Yarrowia lipolytica: one gene and its partner. The protein of the gene in region 1 purifies or fractionates together with the protein of each later gene. This does not show direct contact. Links are inferred from orthologs where the notes say so. Each region holds a gene or a part of one and is shown in the gene's direction. Other genes may lie near its edges.

What was found.
Region 2: the proteins of YALI1_C28963g (region 1) and YALI1_E07040g purify together in Saccharomyces cerevisiae (affinity purification with mass spectrometry; 3 studies listed by BioGRID, with this or other methods). This does not show direct contact. The link is inferred for Yarrowia lipolytica from reciprocal best matches to the Saccharomyces cerevisiae genes MPH1 and MGM101.

What each region holds. Positions count from the first base shown.
Region 1 is NC_090772.1:2,894,611-2,899,788, forward strand, and holds YALI1_C28963g (uncharacterized protein), read left to right. Parts: upstream 1-1,714; coding exon 1,715-1,848; intron 1,849-1,893; coding exon 1,894-4,531; downstream 4,532-5,178. Other genes in the region: YALI1_C28997g (uncharacterized protein), read left to right, coding at 5,132-5,178. UniProt on the Saccharomyces cerevisiae protein: ATP-dependent DNA helicase involved in DNA damage repair by homologous recombination and in genome maintenance. Capable of unwinding D-loops. Plays a role in limiting crossover recombinants during mitotic DNA double-strand break (DSB) repair.
Region 2 is NC_090774.1:702,512-706,155, reverse strand, and holds YALI1_E07040g (uncharacterized protein), read left to right. Parts: upstream 1-2,077; coding exon 2,078-2,947; downstream 2,948-3,644. Other genes in the region: YALI1_E07019g (uncharacterized protein), read right to left, coding at 3,130-3,644. UniProt on the Saccharomyces cerevisiae protein: Performs an essential function in the repair of oxidatively damaged mtDNA that is required for the maintenance of the mitochondrial genome. Binds to DNA.

The sequences.
Region 1 (5,178 bases):
GTATACCATAGATGTTGCCATGCGTTGCCATACGTTGACGGGTTCTAAGTGATTGGAGAATATTGTCAATTGTTGGTCTTCATGATCGGTCGAACTGCTCCAAAGGGAAGCTCATCAAGTCTGGTGCAGTTACACTCTCCCCTCCTTAAGAGACGTCCACGTCCTTCATGGATCATACGAGTCACGGGTCATAATTCAACCCATAATCCACATAACCAATCCCAGTGATACGAACTCCAACCATTCGAGTTCAACCGCTCACGGCAATATCTCAAACATCATGGAAGTCGAATCCAACATTTCATTGGTCTTACTTAGCGCTCGTCGCTTGGCCACTCATAGAATCCACATATCTTTCACTTGATTCTCATCTTTCCCAAGATCTCAATCAACGCCACAAACAGCATCATCAATACTGTGACACGTAATACTCGTTCACATTGTTCGTGTACTCTTCAGCATCATCTCTAGTCCCCAAAATCTCCAAAAATTTCAATCTGCTTTCCACCATCTGTTTGCTTCAAGCTTTCTGCAATCTCCGCTTTCCACTGTTTGCTTCAGGTTTTCAGCAATATCTGATCAGCCAATCGTTCACACTCTGCATCTTACTCTTTGCGTCCGCTTCAGTGATCACTCCGTAACTGTCTCCGTCGAATGCACTTTCGCTTTGTCGCTATCTCTATCCAAGGCTGCTAGTCTCAATACTGCGCTCCTGGCTCTGCTAATCTCAAGCTTCAATAATAAGCTGTTATCGGGCTCCCTGTGGGATCACCCCTCTGTCGTAAGTATTCTGGCGCGAGATTGTCTCCTCAGCGCCCTCGTCAAATACCACTTGTCTCGGCGTTACTCAGTACTTGCTTCTTCGAATCACGTCCAGTACATCCAGGCTTTCACAGATCTCCTCCTCAGTGGATCGTGATCTCACTCACCAACTTTCGTCGCCTCATTGCTCAAGCCGAACTCTTCATGCTCAGTTCCACAGATTCATCGTCCTGGCTCCATTATCTCCTCCGAGGGTTCCCAGTTATCATTAGCATTCCAACTGATCACCAGTGTACTCGCTTCCATTCTCTTCGCAAGTCCACAGCGTCGACCCATCCGTGTACCTCCTAACGTCGGTCCACTTCAGTGTCTCCTAGCAAGCCTCTCTCCACTCTTCTCGTGAAGGCTCGCAGATGCTTCTTTCCGAGCTCACTCGTTTCCTCGTTCGCTCATCCATAATCATCACGGTCGTTGGCAAGCCTCTTCGTGGCTTCCAATGGAGGCAGTTCTAAAGAAGTATGGCTAACTTATCTGACCCCTGAATTGGGTCCGATTTGAACCGCGATTTTGCTTCTCGCATTGTTAGATGCGAATACCAGAATGAATGTGAAACATGATTGTAGAGCTCTTCAAGTGCCATCATCGTGTCTGTTGATATGCCCTCACTGTTTGGGCTGCCCAATATGAATCCACTCATGCACTGTCGGTGATGGACTCAGACATAGTTTGAAGAGTGAGAAGTGCGTCCATTCAAATCACTGAACAAGTAATTGTACAGTAGATTCGTAAAACGCAATCTCCACCTCCAAATACCGCCCACCGATACTTGTAGTTACCATGCTGTTCTTGTACAAGAATCAACACGTACCTGAAGGCCAAACTTTAAGCAGGGGTGTTAATTACGAGTACGCGTTTCGCGGCGACAGTGGCAAAATCAACACTCACCAAACATATGCTGCTGGATGACCTGAGCGACAGCGAATTCGATGCGCTGCCCAAGAACAAGGCTCCAGCACTCCTGGACGACTCGGATCTCGACGATCTCGACGATCTCGACGATTTCGACTTCTCCACAGTGGTAAAAGAGTGAGTGTTCGAAACGCTTTTCAGAACGATTCAATACTAACCCAGACCAGCGAAACCAGTGACAAAGGAACAAACAGCTGTTCACAAGCCATCAACTGCTCAACAACAACCAACACCGGCTCGACAACAGCCGCTGGGACAGCAACCGCCGCGACAGCAACCTTCTGGACCACAACGAACTCAGCTACCCAGGTACAATGCTGATCCGGCAGAATCTACAAATACACCAGACATTGATCTGAACCTGACATACCCTCGACCAATGGACACAGCCTGTCACCATGAGACGACGGGTCTCACCGGATCTTTTCTGTACCCCTCAAATCTGCCGTTCCGAACTTACCAGCATACCATCATTCAATCTTGTCTGATTGAGAATACTCTCTGCTCTCTTCCCACCGGTCTAGGTAAGACCTTCATTGCGTCTGTGGTCATGCTCAACTTTTACCGATGGTTTAAAGATGCAAAGATCATTTTCATGGCGCCAACAAAGCCCCTCGTTTCACAGCAAATCGATGCCTGTCTTCGAATCACTGGTATCCCGAGGCACGACTGCAGTGTGCTGATGGGAGGAGTTAAACAGGCTGATAGAGCACATGAGTGGGCTAACAAACGTGTGTTTTTCGCCACTCCTCAGGTTGTGGAGCTCGATCTCGATGGTGAGATCTTGGACCCAAAGACGGTTTCCTTGTTGGTTGTCGACGAGGCACATCACACCAGTGGCAAATACTCGTACGGAATAGTGGTCAAGAAGCTGCTGGATGCACACCAAAGCTTCCGTGTTCTTGGCCTCACAGCCACTCCAGCTTCCAAGGTTGAAGGGGTGCAGTCTGTCGTGCAACATCTTCTAATTAGTCACTTGGAAGTCAAGGGAGAACAGGATCCAGATGTGCAGCAGTACATGCACAATCGAGAAGAGGTCAAGATCAACGTCGATCTGGGAAGCGATATTAATGAGTTGTTGGCTCTGACTGGGCAGGTACTCAAACCTACCTTGTCTATGATGGCCTCGAAGGGGGTGCTGCATAACACAGACATTGCAAAAATCTCACTGTTTGGCGTCAAGAAGGAGATAGAACGGTACATGTTTCGAACCAAATATCTCGGACCTGCTGCCCAGTACAAGTACCGAGGTATTGGAGCTGTAGTAGCCTCCATAGCCCATGCTACCCAGCTGTTGCAACACCAGGGAATCACGCAGTTCTACGACACCCTGAAGCGACGACACGACGAGGAAATGGCTCGAAAACAGCCTACAAAGTCATACGAACAGGTAGGGGATATTGGCTCAATTTTAGATGCCACCAAGACGATCATGAAAAAAGAAGGATACCTGGCTCATCCTAAGTTGAACTATCTCGGATCGGAGTTGAACGAGTTTTTCAGCAAGGCTCCCGAGGGAGCTAACACAGGTACATGCATCATTTTCGCGCGCTTCAGAAGTACTGTGAATGTGATCATGGAGTATCTGACCAAATTCCCACAGGTCAAGCCACATGAGTTCATTGGCCAGGCTCCTTCACGTGAAGAGGGAGGTGGACGGGGAATGACCCAAAAGAAACAACAAGAGGTTATTTCCAAGTTCCGAAAGGGCGTCTACAATACTCTGGTGGCTACTTCCATCGCTGAAGAAGGTCTCGATATCGGACAGGTTGATCTCATCATCTGCTACGACTCCAACGCTTCACCTATTACGTCTCTGCAGCGGATGGGACGAACAGGACGTTCCCGAGACGGTCGGGTAGTGCTTCTGATGACCGATAAGGAGATGGAGAACAATATCAAGTCGCGTGATAACTACAGCTACATTCAGCGTTTGATGGAAAAGGGGTCTCGTGTAAAGCTTTACCCTCCGAATCGTGTAATTCCCGGTGCCGCTACCGATCCTCCTCCTCCCCATTTCATGAAGCAAGTTATCTTACCAGGTGAGAACCAGGAGATTCTAGACAAAACCGACAAGGATCATCTGGAGCTCGCGGATGTGGTCGCCAAAGGTGACAAGGAGCTGCGTCTGAGGAAAGACAAGAACGGCCACTTCATTGTGCCTCAGAAGAGGAAGAAGAAGGTGTTGAAGATGCCAGAGAATGCGACTTTGGGGTTCATGACCGCTAAGGAGATGGCCATGAGAAGCAGCCAGTCCAGTAATGGTCAGAGCAGCCAAGACATACCTAACAGCCCTACCCCACCTACGAAGCGTACCAAAGTCGATGTTGATGAACTCGAAGCAGATCTCGATGAGGCCTTGGGCAACCGGTCTCATGATAGCCTGGCAGAAGACATTGAGGAGGAGCTAGAGCAGGAAGAGGTTCCTCAACATTTGCATGACTTGGTGGAATTGGACGATGAACGGGAGCAAGATATGAGCCTGGAAGAGTTCATCGGTGATGATGATTTCGATAAGGAGCTGGAGGATGTTCTGAACAGTAGTAAGTCTGGAGGAGGCCAGTCGATTAGTGAGGGTACACAGGGGACTACCAATGAGGTACAGACGACTACAGGTTCAGTACAGACCCAGGCGGTACCTGTGGAACAGAGACAGTCTCAACCATCTTCTGGAATACCACTGGCACCTGTCAAAATGACACCTGCACCACAACTGGCGGAATCTATCGACTCGTCGTCGTTTGACGATGAATTCTTCGATAGATTGGACGAAGCTCTGGCCAAGCCTGGAGACAAGTAATGATAGAGACGAAAGCACAAGTATGTATATACACGAATATTTATTGGTCATACTTGGTATTGTATCACACGACATTTTTGTAAGGAGGCGTTCAATTCTTCTTGCATGACAATAGACTCGAAAGACGGCGATCTTCGGGTCTTCCAACTCTAAGACGATGAGGGTATTCCAACGCAGCCATGGGGAGGTGACTCGCCATATCTGTAGAACATGTAAAACATATATTGAGGTATTATAAGAGCACACTAGATTTCCCCCTTTGGGGGGTCGTTAGCACATTTCTATGCAAGGTTACCTTCTGCTCCTCGACTGGTCTCATCGGCCATGCATATCTGCTGCCCAGAGCTTTCTGATTACGCACGGTTTCAGAAAAATATCGCCGCAATGTCGCTCAGATGACGCATGGATTGAGAGATAAAGCTCTGTTTTGGACAGTGTCGAATTCTGTTTTCCGGAAGCCATGCACAAGTTGTCTCAGAGACTGAAATTTTTGACTCCCATTTTTTAGATTTAGACTTGATCAAACTTCAATCAACTGTTTCGGACCCCCCAAACGTCGCCTGGAAACTCAGACCACACTCGACGACAAACCCCTCCCATATGGAATGGAGCGAAGCGATAAAGGACAGCGTGGACCGCATTCTGGA
Region 2 (3,644 bases), on another chromosome or scaffold:
ACAACTCCTTGCTTCCAACATTTGGGACCAATTTAAAAACATATACTAGCACAAGGTTTAAGGTGTACTTGTACATACATGGTTGCAGTATGACCACATCTCCATATCAAACCTTATTTGTTAGATTTGAGAGGGACTTCGTTTATTGTTCCGTTCTTGTAGCAAGTTCACGTAATTCGAGAATTGCTGGGTGGTTGAAAGAGGGCCTTGCTACAAGAGATAGATACAACACTTTTCATGATATTTTCCCCATTCCAAATAATGCCTGCGGCGTGTACAACCGCATGTTACTGTACATACTGCGGAGGGCGCAATGGGCATTTTTGCCGGACCTGGCGTTCATATTGCAAGAAGTTAGGCGATTTCAGATAGCTGTGTTGGTATGTTTGCCGTGATTTCGTATCGTTTGCGTTTGAATCCGGTAACAGAGCCGAAGCCGGGCCACTACAGGAGTGCAAGATCATCATAAGCTTGATCACACTAAATAACGGCTCGGGCGACTAGGATTCGAGGATTGGCCAGAAGAGCCCTTTTTAGGAGGTAGGTCTCACATGGATTTTCTCTTTTTGGTTGGCGTGGTGTCGTAATCGAAGCTGTCTGAGCGGTGTAGCTTCATGTTGGGGCTCACCATGTGCTCACTGAGACGTCTCTTGGGTGGTGGCGTGAATGGAACTGGGGAATCTGTGTACGACTTTGACGAGCTGGAAGTCTTCTCAGAGCGCTTTGCTACCAATTCTGCGTGAAGAGTGCGGATGAACGCTGGTAGAGAGGGTAGTGAAAGGAGCATTGAGGGCGACTGTTTCTGTAGATCTTCGCATAACCTGTACAGCTCTGTTTGCTCAAGCGTGGGTTTGAGAGGAGACTTTTGCGTTGCAGGTTTTTGTGCCATTTGTTTTTGTGTGGCGGCTGGGTTGTCTTTGTTGGTTTTTCTCATTGTGAAGCACTGTCGTGAACGGCGATGTACTATTCAGGACGATAGCTACGGCTAAGGTAAGAATTAAAATCAGCCCCAAATATGAGATGAGACGAAAAGACATATGAGGCTGTATGGAAAAAAAAATTCAACAGTAGAAACATGATTCACAGTAAATCATGTGCAACTAATAGTTGTGGACCTTTGAGCGAATAATGGAACATTCTCGCATTTCATTCCCTATTGTACATACTTTACTCGTGGTTTATGTCATCCCATACTGTACATACATAGTGCATAGTGCGCTCGCGGTCATACCTTCAGTTCTGGTCTTCTTGCTCTTCTTGCTCACCTTGTCCAAATCTGCTCTGGAGGCATTGGTAGATTGGAAGGAGTCCGGATCTGCTTCGCCTGCAGCAAAATCCCGACTAATGGCTGCTTGGAAACATATGTAGCCTTCCTGAGAGAAGCCATCGAAGACCCCCCTGATATTCAATTCAGCTATTGGAATAGCTGATATGAGTCGTCTGCACGGACTGCTTTTATATCAGGGCAAATTGAAATTACCAGTTATACGCGCCATCCATTTTGATTCGTATATCTTCTTCTCCGGTTTCGATCTCCGACTTCGATCACTTCTGCTTTCAATCATCTCCTCAGCATCACCGTCCGAGGACAAAGTTTTTTGCCACCCAAAGAAGCACCTCAATTTCTTCTTCCAGAATGGGCTGTGCATGACAAACGCATGGACCAAAATGAGGCATGTGTGGTGATAACCCCAAGGATCTCATTATTCTTTGATAAGGTCTATCTGAGATATTCATGAAATAAATTCTTACTTATTTGGATCATTTCAGATCTTCATTGCTTACTTCAGACTCATATTACCTGCCAACCGCTGCTTGGTTGCGCGTAGTATGCAACCATAGACTCAATCATCGTAATAGATACTGTACCAGAGCTTGGTGACGACAACTGAATAAGGAAGAACCACTCTGAGATCCTAAACGCAACCAAATATTCGCACCTGTTCCCACATCGTTAGCGCCCAATAGACGTTATCTGAGTCATACGTTTCACACACACAAACCCTAACCCGTATCAGACATGAAAAATGAAATGTAAACTGGACCTGCTCCATACTGACACCAACATCACGATACAATGAGACCTACAGTAGCGCTAGTGGTTGCGCGCGGCGTTCGAGCCATGGGTTACCGAACTGCTGCGGCTGCTACCAAACCCGCTGCGGCTTCCGCCACTTCGGCTCCTGCTACTCCTGCTAAAAAGCCTGCTGCCTCCTCGTACTGGCGAAAAGCTGCCTCTGCTGCTTCCACCGCCTCTGTGAGCAACGCCACCAAGAAGACTCCTGTTGCTGCTTCATCTCCTGCCGCTGAGCCTATCGAAGCCGACGATATGCCCCAGGTCGACACGTCTACAGTTGACCAAGCACCCACCTTCCAGTATCCTGAGGGAGCCCAATCAAACGTCTTCCAGCATATGAACCAGCGAGAAATCGACTGGGAACAGTCTTTCCAGGGTCTGGGCTCCCAAGCCTTCTCTAAGGAGGCCGCCCAGGTTCTCCAGGCTCCTCTCACAGTCGAAGACATCGAAATCACCCCTGACGGACTGCTGTACCTGCCGGAAATCAAATACCGACGTGTTTTGAATGCGGCGTTCGGACCTGGAGGATGGGGTCTGGCCCCCCGAAGTGACACCGTTGTCACTGACAAGATTGTGACGCGTGAATACGGTCTCATCTGCGAGGGGAGACTTGTGTCTGTGGCTCGAGGAGAACAGACCTACTTTAACGAAGACGGCGTTCCTACTGCCTCTGAAGGATGCAAATCCAACGCCATGATGCGATGCTGCAAGGACCTGGGCGTGGCTTCTGAGCTGTGGGAGCCCAAGTTCATCCGAAAGTTCAAGGCCCAGCATTGCGAGGAGGTGTGGGGAACACATGTTGTCAACAAGCGAAAGAAGAAGCTGTGGAAGCTCAAGGGAGAGACCCTAGCCTACCCTTACCAGGAGTAGTGTATGTACATAGACGGATACTAGAACGAGGTGAATACAAATGATACGACAGCGACAATAACTACAACAATGTCCGTGATAAATATAACTATAGCTGGAACTAGCCGGAGTTGGGATAGTTGGGAAGAGAGCTACTTGTACCAAAGGTAGTCAGCTAGGAAGGAGCTGCAGGTACCATGCCCTTACAGGTTGGAGGGAATGAGAGGCTCCTCCTCCTCTGATTCTCGAGCCATACTCGCCCCAGATACAGGAGGCTCAGATGGGGGATCTACGAGTTTCTCGTAGCCAGCCTTGTTGGCCTCGCCAACCTTGGAGTAGTGACGCTGCCAGAACCAGCCCCTTGAGTTGGGACGTTCGTCCTTCACGTTCCCATCAAGTCCAAGCACATCTTCCGACTTGACAACGTCAAATTCAGTGTCAGAAGAAGAGGCCAACAAGGGAGAGTAGTCTGAGGCGGTGATGTTGACACCCGAAGCCAGCGAGGCATTCGATTTCGACTTTGTGTCGCTCTTGAGCAAAGATCCACGAGCATCAAGAGACGACAGAGCAGCCAGTAGTCTAGAGCGCTCCTTGTCTATGAGACCCAGCTGCTCGGAGTGCGGCAGAGACGAGGGGATCTCCACGGTCTCTGTTACCTCTCGAGAGCCTACTGCACCGCCAACCGCTCCGGCCGCTCGGTACATGTCGAACAGCCGCG